2 linked regions of the Arabidopsis thaliana genome follow. The protein of the gene in region 2 interacts with the protein of the main gene of each other region in a pairwise test. Each region holds a gene or a part of one and is shown on either strand. Other genes may lie near its edges. The genes, in order: AT1G67860 and RLP53.

Evidence for each region.
Region 1: the proteins of RLP53 (region 2) and AT1G67860 interact in a protein complementation assay, tested with the Arabidopsis thaliana proteins (one large-scale study listed by BioGRID).

The regions. Positions count from the first base shown.
Region 1 is NC_003070.9:25,442,758-25,448,240, forward strand, and holds AT1G67860 (uncharacterized protein), read right to left. Parts: upstream 2,601-5,483; 5' UTR 2,420-2,600; coding exon 2,183-2,419; 3' UTR 1,995-2,182; downstream 1-1,994. Other genes in the region: AT1G67856 (RING/U-box superfamily protein), read left to right, coding at 1-130; AT1G67865 (uncharacterized protein), read right to left, coding at 3,703-3,930.
Region 2 is NC_003076.8:9,520,346-9,528,564, forward strand, and holds RLP53 (receptor like protein 53), read right to left. Parts: upstream 5,134-8,219; 5' UTR 5,066-5,133; coding exon 2,189-5,065; 3' UTR 2,185-2,188; intron 1,951-2,184; 3' UTR 1,633-1,950; downstream 1-1,632. Other genes in the region: AGL101 (AGAMOUS-like 101), read left to right, coding at 1-293; AT5G27065 (uncharacterized protein), read left to right, coding at 3,984-4,259, 4,322-4,357; AGL53 (AGAMOUS-like 53), read left to right, coding at 7,396-8,219.

The sequences.
Region 1 (5,483 bases), on a different chromosome or scaffold from region 2:
TTGTGGGTTTAAAGAGGAGGAAGAGGTGAGTGAGTTAGTGTCCTGCAAGCATTACTTTCACTCAGCTTGTTTGGATAAATGGTTTGGTAATAACCACACAACTTGTCCTCTCTGCAGATCCATCCTTTAGACTTTCCTTTTATGGCTTTTCACAATTTTTTTTTAAATGTTTTCTAGTTTCTATTTTGGGAAACTCAGATTCTGTTGTGTCCACTTTGTGGGTTTTGTAAGGTTTTTTATAACGAATAAATGTGCTTTTGATAGCTGTGCTCTGATAGTATGTGGTTCATGTTAACAACTGGATTATACACCAGTTTTCTTGTAATTCACAACCAAAATAAAAGTAGATGTGACAATTAGAAGAACAGTGTTACATCTTTTGCATATATAACAGAATCTCTACTAACTGAAACTTAGATAATACAGTTGTTAAATTTTCTGTGCTTTAGATTGATGAAATTCTCTGCTTCTTTATCAACATCTTCATCTTTTGCTTTCTTCTCACTCTTCACCTTCCTCATATGATGTGATGACGTCTTCATCACGTCATGACTCAAGTCTTCGTACTCCATAACTTGATGATTAGGTTTCTCTGCCATCGAATTCATGTGATGATGATGGGTATGGTGACGATGATGATGAGTTTTATGCTGAAGGAAGGTCTCAGGCACCATTGTTTCTATTGAAATTCTTGTTTGATATCTTCTTATTACTCAGTACGCATTTAAATTAATCATCAGAGGGATTATATCTACGCATGTTTAGTATTGGAGTCTTAAGGATTACGTTGAATCCGATACCTTTTATTCCTTTAGATTATTCCAGGTTTGGCCAATGTTCATTGGACCATTAAATATATTGACGCATATGTGACATGTCTATTGTTGTATTTAGAGGATAGTTGGCTAAAGGTATATATGCCCATGAACAAACAGAAAACGGTAAACGAGAGTCACTGATGGTTATTCGATCGAACTAGATACCTTTAACAATGGATGATATGGCGTGTTTTGACTACAACTTTAGTAAAGAAAGTAGGAAAATATGTGTGTATAAGTTCAATGTAAGGCTAATTATCTCCGTTGTGGAATGGTCTCTTCAATCGTTATGATAGAAATTGCATCTTGCTTGGAGAGATAACTTGTGGTTTTGCCTTGATGAGGATTCGTCATGTTGACCTAGGACCACTAAAAAATATCGAAGATATTCTCCTTCATATGATAAGAAGGATTCAAGAGATTATGATATATAGTAAAACTTTTATAAACTAATACTGGACAAATAAAAAAAAAATGTTATAAATTATTTATATTTTCTAGTTTCGAGTAGGAGTAATATAAAAACTAATACAATTCGATAAGATAGAAAAATAATTATTTTTTGAAAATTTTAATGTAAATCTAAGTTTCTAATAATATAATAATAATTTTATAAACTGCACATATATAACAAAAATAAATACATGATTTTAGTGTTATTTGTATTTTTTTAAAAAAATTACTGATATTACATACTTTTTGGTGTTATGTTTTCGAATTTTAACATATATTAATTTTATTGAGCAATGTGAGAGATAATATATTTAGTGTATATAAGAGGAAGACAACTAAATAACCAGTTGTTGTGAAAACCTATATAGTTGTGATCCACATGAAAATTCCAATACAAGTCTACGCACAAACCCATCTTTTCTAGTTAACGTAATTAGTTTTCTTTGTTCCTTAACTCACTTGTACTTATGTTATTTTAACAAGTAGATTCATGTAATGAACATTAAAGCATGTAACTTGAGGGTTTTTTTCCCTTGTCTTCATCGTGAAACAACATATCTTAATCCAATCATTTTCGTAAATAGTCTTTTCGTTTTCTCTTTCTATATATATAGTTCAATGAGATATAATATACTTCCTAAATATTCATTTCAAATTTTGTCGATAAATATATATTAAAGTCAATTTATATACCGATCTAATATATATTTCTTATGTAATATGATAAATGATTTATTAACTTAAACAAGAACGCTGACAAAAAAAAAAAAAAACTTAAACAAGAACATTTATTTTCATTAAAAGTCCGTCACACAAATACATGATACATCTTACACATTTATTATATGGGGAGTACATAATCGTTACTTTCTTATTTGAACCGTCAGAATATTTGGGTAGTCTAGAGTCCTCTACTCCCTGTCTTTCTGGCGGCGACGGCGGCCGTTCTCCTTAGCCTTCACTGCTGCTGCACCGCCGTTACGGCTAAGGTTGGTCGGGAGCTTCTTTTTGTGCTCCTCGCAGTCGGTACGAGTGCAGCTCTGGTAACTATCGGGGCATATTCCGATCCCTCTGGCGAACCCATCCACCGTTCCAATAATCGCTCCGGCAATCCCTCCGACAATCCCTCCAATAAGCGTATCAAGCATTTTTATATATTAATTCTGTTGTTTTTCTTTGATATGAATAAGAGCTTACAATCTTTCAGATGTTTGTATATATTTATACAATTCTCGTAGTGTTCACTTAAGTTTGTTTGTTATGGCAATTATTCGTCATATGATATCCATGATATGATAAGAATCTTATTCTTTTTTTTTTACCACCACCATACGTAAAATTGAATAGACATGTTTGTTCTTATTCCGTTCGTCTTAAAAAATTCAACGATCACAAAAATTCGTGAAGTAGATGGAAAGAAAGTGGAAAACAAGATAACTATGGACATACACGACCCGTCTTACTTGTCACTCAAATGGTCCTTCAATCGCTATGATGGAAATTGCATCTAATGCTTGCAAAGTTTGAAGACTCTCCAAGTGGAAGTGGACTTAAAGTTTCCCCTTGTTGAAGATTCAGGTCGTTGTTCTAGGCCAGAAAATAAAGCCTTATAAAAGTGTAATAATCTAACTATTCAACTTAGACTCCATAACGCTGTAAATTGCAAGAAAACATTTCTATTAGTATTAAGTTCAAGAATTAGTCTAGACTTTGGATTTAGGAAGACTCTGATTATTGGAAAAAAAAAAAACATTGCTTGTGTAAGGTTCGTTTGATTTTTGAGATAAAAGTGTAGACAACTCTATCAATGACATTCATGGAATTCTTCAAGAAATTCGACAGCTTCAAGGTTGTTTCCGTTCTATCTCCTTTAGTTATATTTCTCGTCTTTCCAATTCAAAAGGCAGACGCTGTCGCCAAATATGCTATCTGTGTTTGTGTTTCCCTCAAGAACATTGCATAACTGAAAAGGCTAATCGAATCAACAAAAAATCCTATGATCCGTCTAATTTAGTAAATGAATTACTTGTTTGAATCAAATCTATGAGCTTAAAGTTTTGGTCGATAAATGCAAAATAAATTATCTAATTATTTAGATGAACCAGAAACATTAAAACGACATATCCTACTGCACTACGTAACTTATAAATTCATTAGGGTTTTCGTTACACCATAACGTTACTTTTCAAACTTAATTGTGTGCAAATAAATTCAATCTTTTCACGTGTGGAAATAACTGTTAATATACATCACTTTTATTAAACACACTCCTTTTATTAATCATAAAGTTCATAAAATTAAACAAGAAGACTTTTCATTAAAAGTCTCCTATATTTTTGGTAAGATACTGAAACATGTCCATCTTATACATACATCGTATACATTTATTATTTTGGATACATAATCATTACTGGGTGTGGTCAGGAGTCCTTTACTCCCTGTCTTTCTGGCGGCGGCCGCCGGAGTTCTCGGATGCCTTCACTGCACCGCCATTACCATTGCCGTAGTTTCCCGGACTCGTCATATTGTTGTTCTCGAAGCGACCGGTGCTCTGATAATTATTGGGCCATATCCCGACCCCTTTGGCAAACCCATCGACCGTTCCAAGAATCCCTCCGGTAATCCCTCCGGCAACCCCAATAATAAGCTTATCAAGCATTTTTCTTTATATTTATCTACTTGTGTTAGTTTTCTTTGATATGGATAAGTGTTTTAATCTTTCAGATGTTTTCTATATATAGAAAAAATTTCTTGTATATAGTTCCCTTTTTTATGATCTGAATCTTATTCTCTTAGTACCATCACTACCGAAAGTTGAATAGATATGTTTGTTCTAATTCCGTTCGTCGTTTTTAATAATGATCACATGGGAAAGATCCAAACTAAGGAGGTTTCTGTCTACGGACACGTTTTCTTTAAAAAATCAGACCCTATAGACCCTCAAAAATAGATGTTGTATGTGTATCAACTAATGTTTAGTCCAAAAAGGCATGTTTTGACAGCAATACTAGTAACGAACATTAGAAAAGATGTGTGGATAAGTTTAGTGTAAGGCCCATCTCCTTCGTGGAATGGTCTCTTCAATCGTTATGATGGAAATTGCATCTAATGCTTGCAAAGTTTGAAGAGTCTCTCTTAACCAAGTGATAGCGGATTCTCATTGTTGGTCTAGTCCATGAAAAGAATTTCCTTAAACGTGGAATTATCTAACTATCCCGCTTAGCCACTCGTCGACGCTTTCAGTGGCAATAAAACTCATATTAATACTTGGCTCAGGAATTAGTTTGGACTTCGGTCGACAAAGACCTAGTCCCGATTATTAAAAAAAAAACGTTAATGACAGTGTAAAGTTTATTTTAAAAAACAGATTTCTATGAGGTAAAAGAAGAAAATGTTATTCCCTTTGGAGATTATTCGAAATATCATCGTACGATCATATGAATCTTATTCTCTTTTCTACCACGAAAGTTGAATAGTCATGTTTGTTCTAATTCCGTTCGTCTTTTAAATTAAAGATCAGTCCTATTCATATGGGAACATTTCGGAATTGGCTGAGTATTAATGGAAGCATAATAATGAAACTGGAAATTAAACCTAGTCTAGTTCTATTTATTACGGATTTTATTTGATTTTATATTAAATTTGTTTGAGTTAAAATTTTCATTCATTTTTGGATTTCGACGAAGCGTTGTGTAACTTTTTTTTTTTTTTTTTTGTTCTTTGCTAATAGCCACGTAACGTGCATGACATGAGTAAGCCGGCCACGTTAGCGAAAAGTGGGAAGTAACACAAGAAGTCTAAAGACCATGGGATATTCAATGGTGAGGGTTAAAAAATACCGAGATTAAGTAGGAAGAAGATGAGGAAAGAAGACTTGTGTTAGAATATTGGAGACAAACCAATGATCCTTAGACGAAGCAAAGAAGAGAACCTCCAAGAGAAGTAACGGTGATTGTGGTGACCGTAGGGATTACTTTCAGCTTTGGTAACCATAAGTAAAATGATGATAAATTCAATTTGGATAGAAAAATACACCACTTAAGTAGCATCCCACATCAATCCACGAAACTGAAAAGATCAAAACATTTGCTATTAAAGGAACTATTCCAAAAATTTAGTGAAACGTGCCTAACATAACACATATACAACCGATAATCCGATATGTACTTTGAAAATCGGAGGAAGCCCACCAAATATACCAGAAAGTTGGCT
Region 2 (8,219 bases):
ACGGAGAACTCTTCAAGACATGGCCGGAGGATGAATCCAAGGTTCGAGACATGGCAGAGAGGTTTACCAAACTAAACGAGAGAGAGCGACGGAAGAAAAGAACCAATCTTTCTCTGTTTCTACGTAAGAAGATCCTCGACGACAATAAGCTCTCAGGGAAAGTCTTAGAGATGAAGGATTCGTTAGAAAGGGGTCTACGGGTGCTACAAGATAAGCTTCTGTTACTACAACCCGAGAATCAGACCAAGTCCCTGACTCGTTCTGTTTCTAGTTTAGATTATGTGTTCGTTTAATTGTCTGATTAAGAGTTTCTGTTGAATTGTATGTTTTCCTAACTATGAATGCTATTTTCTCAATTCTATTTTTGTCTATGAGTCTTAAATTTGAGTTTGAATATACATTAGACATTGAATGTTAGATGTCCATAATTGATGCAGGTAAGACAACTAATTGAGTAATTGAGCAAGATATTCTGTGAAATTTTCGGTTCAATTTGTGAATGAACTCAATGGAGGAAAGCTTATAGAAGAGGATATGATAATCATATTACCTGACACTTTGATATGTCAGACGCTCTTGTAGCAGCTTCCGTCAAAAGTTGTTGTTAATACTTAATACTAATGTTTTGTCCAAGATGTGGAAAAAAAACTGACTTTGTTCAGTTGTTGGATTTAGATGCCAGTGAGTTCCCAGATTACAATGCCTTAGTGAGTTTTCTTGATAGGTCTTTAGTGTATCCGGAGGACTGAGAGTGAACAGTCTTGTGTCACGCGGTGGATAGATTCTGTGGTTAATCGTAAACTTAAGGATCTTGATGTTAATTAGTGTCATGTGGAGCGTTATTGTTTTAAAGGTGATCCCCTTATAAGTCTTTATATATGTTAGACATTGTTGTACTTAAGACTGCAACAGGTTTTAATGTGTGATATCTAGTCAGTTTCTGAAATTTTTGTCAAGTTCATGCTTATAGAACAAATTGTATATGCCAATTATGAAGCTATACAGTAGCTTAATTATTCCAGAAGGCTAGTGATAATGTTAAGGTTTTAAGTGTACACTTCTCACTCATTATTCATTATTGTTGAATTTAAGGCACAGGGTTTTTGATTGATGCCCATATGCTCACGTATCTGAATTTCGAAGATGATATTATAGAGAGTAAAATCATAAGCATACAAGTTCTTTAGCCAAGTTTAATGTAGTTGCCTTAATCTGGTATTGTTTTGCTCTTGTTGGCTTACTGATGCAAACTTTGATCCGTAAATCTTCACCGGATTCTCGAGAGTTAATTAGCCCTTGGCATACTGCAGTCTGCAGAGGTCTATGTCTTAATTACCAAATTCATAGTTATATATAAAATGTTGTTTTCATTATATTTTAGATTCTTATTGAGAGTACCTCTACCAAAACATGAAAACAGAACTACTAGCGGAATTTTGCAACTTTACATGTCTTCAAGTGACGTTTTGTCTATCCTACCTTGAAATGCTACACAGACTTCTTGAGAGCTTTCAGAATCTAAAATAACTCGTCATAGTGGTGGTGACTTGCACAAACCCCTAGAGTTTAACATAAGAAACATGTTGTTTTTCTTTCTTCTATACTTTGTGTGTGTGTGTTTTCTATAACATGATTTTGTATATGACCACAGAAACTAGTATATATGGTTGTTTTTTTTGAACTCACTTCCATCGTTCTACTTCTTCGCCGTAAAAAGGTTTGGTTTTAACTATCACATGAAACTTACATTGCCATTAAACTAAAAGCTTTATATCACTCCAAATGTACTTATGGTTCACTTATTCACAAGCAAAATGAAAGGTATTAACTAGACATTTGAGAGTTCTTAGACAAAACAAATTAAACCATAAATGCAGATCTTTGTATATGAGCTTCATTTCTCTCATACCTCCTTCTCTGTTGTTATCTTTGGACACCCTAGGATTGTGCCTATAAGAAAGCACCAAATTCCAAACATAAGAGTTGTTTACATTTTTAAAAATTTCAGCGGTTTAATCACCGAAACAGATTTTCGATTGCTTCTGGGTGCTGTGTGCGAAAACGAAAGATCAAAGAGATATTTCACAAATTTCGGTATCAATTACGGACCTATATTCAAAAGTTTGTTCACGTAATTTATTCTAATGTTTGCTAACTAATTCGTTTTAAGAGTCAGAACATTACCTCTCTAGTGAGTTGTTTTGTGTCTTTTCTGTCTACGATTGTTTCGGTCAAAAGGGTTCATGAACCACTCTGGTTTATAGGAAACGAGTATGTATCCAAACATCAAACCAAAGGCAATACCAGGTCCGAATCCTATTGCAGCTGCTATCCAACTAATCAGATCTTCGTCTTCTTCCTCTGTTTCCGGCGTTTCAAACTGTTGATGTGATGCTGGCGTGTGAATATCTCTGCAAACTTCTTCAAGAGAAGAGCCGAAAAGTCCCAAGTTATCTTCAAAGGCAGAGCAATTTTGCGTTAGAAATTGCTGGCCTCCTGGTACTAGGCCTGCAAGCTGGTTATGAGAGAAGTTCATATACGCAAGGAACGAAAGGTCCCCTAGCTCTTGTGGAATCTCTCCTGTAAGCTTGTTCTTAGAAACGTCCAATGACTCGAGAGCTGTCAGGTTCCCCATAGATGAAGGCATGTGGCCACTGAAAGCATTGTTTGACAAGCTGAGCACGAGAAGCTCTTTCAATAGACCAATGGACTTTGGAATCTCTCCTTCAAATCTGTTTCCGGAAAAGTCGACTGCTGTGTAGATTGTGAGGATACGTACCAGCTCCATCGCTACACCTTTATTCATCAAAACCATTGAATCTTGGTAGTAAAGGCCTGATCCCATGTACTTTTCGTTAGACTGGTCTTCGTTTTTTCCAAGTGATGACATAGCACTCCACTTCACAAAGTACTCTGTTGGCAAAGTTCCATTGAAGCGATTATGTGATATATCGATGATGCGCAACTCAGGGAATGTGGCTTCATGTATTGGTCCATGGAATGCATTGGAGCGTAATACAAGAACTTGTAGCTTCGGTAGAGAACTCAACCAGAAGGGAAACGTGTCGTTGATTCTGTTGCTTTCCACGTTCAAAACTTCAAGAGTAGAGAAAAAACTCAAAGATCTTGGTAGCTTTCCCACTAGCTGGTTATGGCCGACATCAAGAGACCTCAGTATTTCAAATATTTGCTTTGGAAGACCTCCGCTAAGATGATTCTGACGAAGGTTTAGAACTGAAAGAGTACTCTTGAGATGTCCCATGCAACGAGGGATTGAACCATTAAAGTTGTTGTCAGATAAATCGAGTGTGTTTAGAGAACGCAACCCGCATATGAAAGAAGGAATCTTGCCTATGAAGTTATTGTTGGAGCCAAGCAAGTACAGCAGAGATGGTTCAGGTTTCGATGGTCTTTGGAAACCGATTAAAGTGTTGTTGGAAAGATTCACGTAGTACAAGATTGGTAGCCTCCATAACCAGTCAGGAACTTGACCTTTGATTTTGTTGTTGGAAATGTCTAGAAACCCCAATTCGTGTTGGGTTCTTACGAACTCTGGAAATTCAGTGATACCGCACCCTGACAAGTACAAAGATTGTATCAATTGCGAAGGAGGATCTGAAACTGAACTTTTGTTTGTGGCCGAAACATGGTTGCCTGAGAGATCCAATAAAAGGAGCCTTTTGAAATATGATAAGAAATAGTTCAAGTCGATCCTAGTGGTGGTGTTCAAATGGGATATGTTTAGATCTAGGAGTGACTTGAGATGGGAGAAGATACTAAAGTCAACTGGGCCTTGGGTGTTTAAATGGGAAATGTCAAGTCGGAAAAGTTTGACTAATTTGGAAATGGAACTAGGGATTGGTCCTATGAAGTTGTTGTTGCCAATGTCTAACTCATATAGGTTAGATGGTGAAGATATATTTCCAAACTCAAGAGTGCCTTTGAGTTGGTTACCATTCAAACGAATGTAAGTCAAAGAAGGAATGGTGAAGAGAAAAGAAGGGAACGTTCCGGTGAAGGCGTTGTCACTTGCATCAAAATCCATCAAGTTGGATAGTGAAGTGATATTAGGAGGAAGCGTGCCTGTGAACTTATTGTTGGAGAGTGATAAAAGTGACAACCCTGTCAAGTTCAGTAGGACATTGGGAAAGTTTCCGCTGAGCTTATTGTCATCAACATATAAGCGGGTCAGCTGGTTTAGATTGCCAAAAGAAGATGGGATTTCACCAACGAAATTGTTACTAAAGAGGCCGAGAAAGGTAAGTTGAGAAAGGTTTCCAATAAAAGATGGAATCTGACCCGAAAAATTGTTATTAGAAAGGTCGAGAGTGGTGAGATTAGAAAGATTTCCAATTGAAGATGGAATCTGACCCGAAAATTTGTTACTGAAAAGGCTGAGAGTGGTGAGATGAGAAAGACCTCCGATAGAAGACGGAAACTGACCAAAAAACCGATTATAAGAAAGATCTAGAAAAGTGAGATGAGAAAGATTACAAATTGATGATGGAGCCTGACCCGAAAATTGATTATCAAAAAGGTTGAGATAGGTGAGACGAGAAAGGTTTCCGATTGAATTCAGAATCTGACCCGAAAAATGATTAGAAGAAAGGTCGAGATAGGTGAGATGAGAAAGATTTTCAATTGATGACGTGATTTGACCTTTAAAATCATTAAATGAAAGGTCTAGAGTGGTTAGGAAATGAAGGTTTCGAATACTGCTGTTGGAATGAAACCGGCCATGGAGAGAGCTGCAGCTTAGGTCTAGCTCGATCACTTCCCCGGACTTGGCATTGCACGTGACTCCCTCCCAATTACAACAGTCGCTGTTATTCCCCCATGAGTCCGTCTTCCGAGGAGATTCAATGCCATAAATCTTACAATGATCAGGAGAAGGCTTCCCAATCTCAAACTCGTTTTTGAACGCGAGGAGTGCATCCCTTTGTTCGGGACGACACAAGTTCCTAGTTGGAGCCGCAAGCACGTCCAGAAAATGACAAATGAATAAGAAAATAAAAGAGAGAGTAATACGAATGATACTCTTTGAGTTCCAAAAGCCTTCCATCATTCTTAAGCTAATTTAATTTTCTTGAATATTGATAGTGAAAAAGCAAAAAAATAAAATCTGGAAATTGTGATGGTACGTAACATGTTTTCATGCCCATCTCTTTATATACAAAAATAATAGACTCTATTCCACAAAGATAATTCCAACACAGCTTGACCCTCCGAGGCGTTTTTCACGTTAAACGCAACGACTTAAAAAGTCTTTACGTTGAATAATGTCCATTTCCACTCCTTTTGTCTTACTTTTTAGTTACGTACAGGGAACATGAAAAAAAAACGTTGTATTTTGTCCAGCCAAATTAAATTGATCGTGGAAAATGAATTCTGCAGGTAAGCAATGACTTGTTCATTGTTACTAGTGCTAGTGAATAGTGATGATCGACAGCGTCAAGAGTCAATCCCCATCGATGTATTAATTTTGCGCAAAAAAAACAACTGGGCTAGGGCCCAACAATGAAGGCGGATAAAAGAAAACGAAGGCCCATTTTACCATATGTCAGCGAACTCGGAAGAGTATAAATATTCCTCTTTGTGTTTACTTAAAACTAAAATTTGGGACTATTTTATAAAAAACTAATAAGGCCGCCTAAATAGGCGGGTGTGTGATTTAGATGTAAATCTTTATTGACAGTATTCAAATGTTGAATAATAAAATAGTAATTTATATTTTTTTTGACAATTAATTTAATATTTTTTTATTTAACAAAATTTGATGCTTATACATTCTCTTTTATCATACATTTTAATTCTACACATTCAAGCTTATTGATGATATTTGAATTCTAAATAATAACCTACAAATTTCTATCTTACACATTCAATTTTGCAATACAATTTAAGTATCTATTTCATCATAATATACTCGATTTTCATTCTAAACACTTCATCTTAAGTGAATTTTTTTTTATTAAAAAAATATATTTATATCAGATCTAATATATATCTTTGTTGATATTAAAAAAATAATAAACAGTAAACAAAACTTAACAAAAAAAAAATCCACAAAAATATTTGAAAAGCAAAACTTTTTAAAATGTTTCTTTATATATGGCGTAATTTTCTCTTATGTAAACTTATTTTAAATGAGTTAAAATTAATTAAAAAATATACTAACTTCTTTTTAAGTAATTGAAAAGTAAATCATATAAGTTGTTCTCTCCAAAAATCTTGTGTTTTAACTTATGACTACATGCGTTAAATTTTTTACAATAAAACATAGTTATAAGCTTTTAGTGACATATCAAAGGATCCAAGTTGCTCAATCACCGAATACGTTAAAATTCTTAGAATAAATCTTAAATATTTAAAAATTTATTATAATAAGGTCACTAAATTTTAAAAATATTTTTGTGTTCAAAATTTAACAAATGAAAACACTATATTACAATGATAAACACAATTTTATCCAATTAAATTAATTTTAAATAAATTATATTGTTATTTTAAACTTAAGTGGTCTTTTTAATTAGTTATTATTCATACTTAATGATTTTTCTTTTAAATTAATACATGATTATTTATTTAATTGACCAATAATATATGTGTTTTCAAATTTGTTAATTTTCTTTTTTGTTAAGAAAAATAAAGTTTAAATATTGTTAGATATATATAAATTAATATATGTAAATTTTTCTTTTTAAGGTTTTTTATTTTTTTAAGAGAATTAAAAAGTTAAATCTTTAATGACACATGTAAACATCTCAATGTTAGATTTGACACGTGCCACAATCTTATGAGGTAGTAATTTTGAAAACTGTACTTTATATAATAAGAAATTAATATATGTAAATTTTTCTTTTTAAGGTTTTCTATTTTTTTAAGAAAATTAAAAAGTTAAATCTTTAATGACACATATAAACTTCTCATTATTAGACTTGACACGTGCCACAATCTTATGAGTTAGTAACTTTAAAAACTATACTTTATATAATAAGATACTGGATGTGGGAAATCGTATCTAAGATCGTATCTACAACGGTTACATTGATATTGGTAAAGGAAAATCGTATCTAATTAAGATTTATCTCATAGACAGCAAACAAAAAGGGAATTTCATTACTTAAATATCACAACGGTTAGATTAATAGAAGTAAATCATCATCATTTAACGAAGAAAAGATACTCTAAAGAAAAAGGAAATAAAACCCACAGCTCAATTTGTCTCTCTTGGTTTAGTAAAATCAATATCAAATATTATATGGAAATACAAGAATTTCACAATTCTATATAACCCTGAACCGTGTGTTAGTTACACTAAGTTTATTTTCTAGGTTTCTCTCTGATAAGAAACTAGGTATCTTCTTCTTCTTTTTCTGTGGGTAAACAACAACAATGGATTCTTCAATGTCGACGAAGAAGAAAACCAAATTGTCTGTGAGAAACCAAACTTGTTTCAAGAAATCGTCCCTGTCTTCTTCTTCTACTGCAAAAAAGACCACGAATTTGTCTATGAGAGAACAGACCATGTTCAAGAAAGCCTTGGAGCTTTCAACTCTGTGCAACATCGATGTCTGTGTCATATACTATGGTCGTGACGGAAAACTCATCAAGACATGGCCGGAGGATCAATCAAAAGTTCGAGACATGGCTGAGAGGTTTAGCAGATTACACGAGAGAGAGCGATGCAAGAAAAGAACCAACCTTTCTCTGTTTCTACGTAAGAAGATCCTCGACGACACTAAATTGTCGGAGAAAGTCTTAGAGATGGAGGATTCGTTAGAAAGTGGTCTACGAGTACTACAAGATAAGCTTCTGTTACTCCAACCCGAGAAAAACCAGACCGAGTTTGGTCAGACCCGTGCGGTTTCTTCCACAACGAATCCATTGTCTCCTCCTCCTTCGCTAATTGAGGATCATCGTCATCAACAATGGACAGAACCATTGATGAGTGGTGTGTCAAACACAGAGCAAGACCTATCGACGTCATCATTGAGTCAAAATCAGAGCAGAATTTCAGTCTTTCTCTATAACCATGACAACCGTAGCTTCTATCAAGTCCCTGACTCAGTTTCTAGCTTTGACCAATCGGCTTTACTTGGGGAACAAGGATCTGGTCTAGGAAGTAACTTTGATCTTCCTCCCATGGTTTTTCCTCCTCAGATGCAGACACAAACCCCACTTGTCCCCTTTGATCAGTTTGCGGCATGGAATCAAGC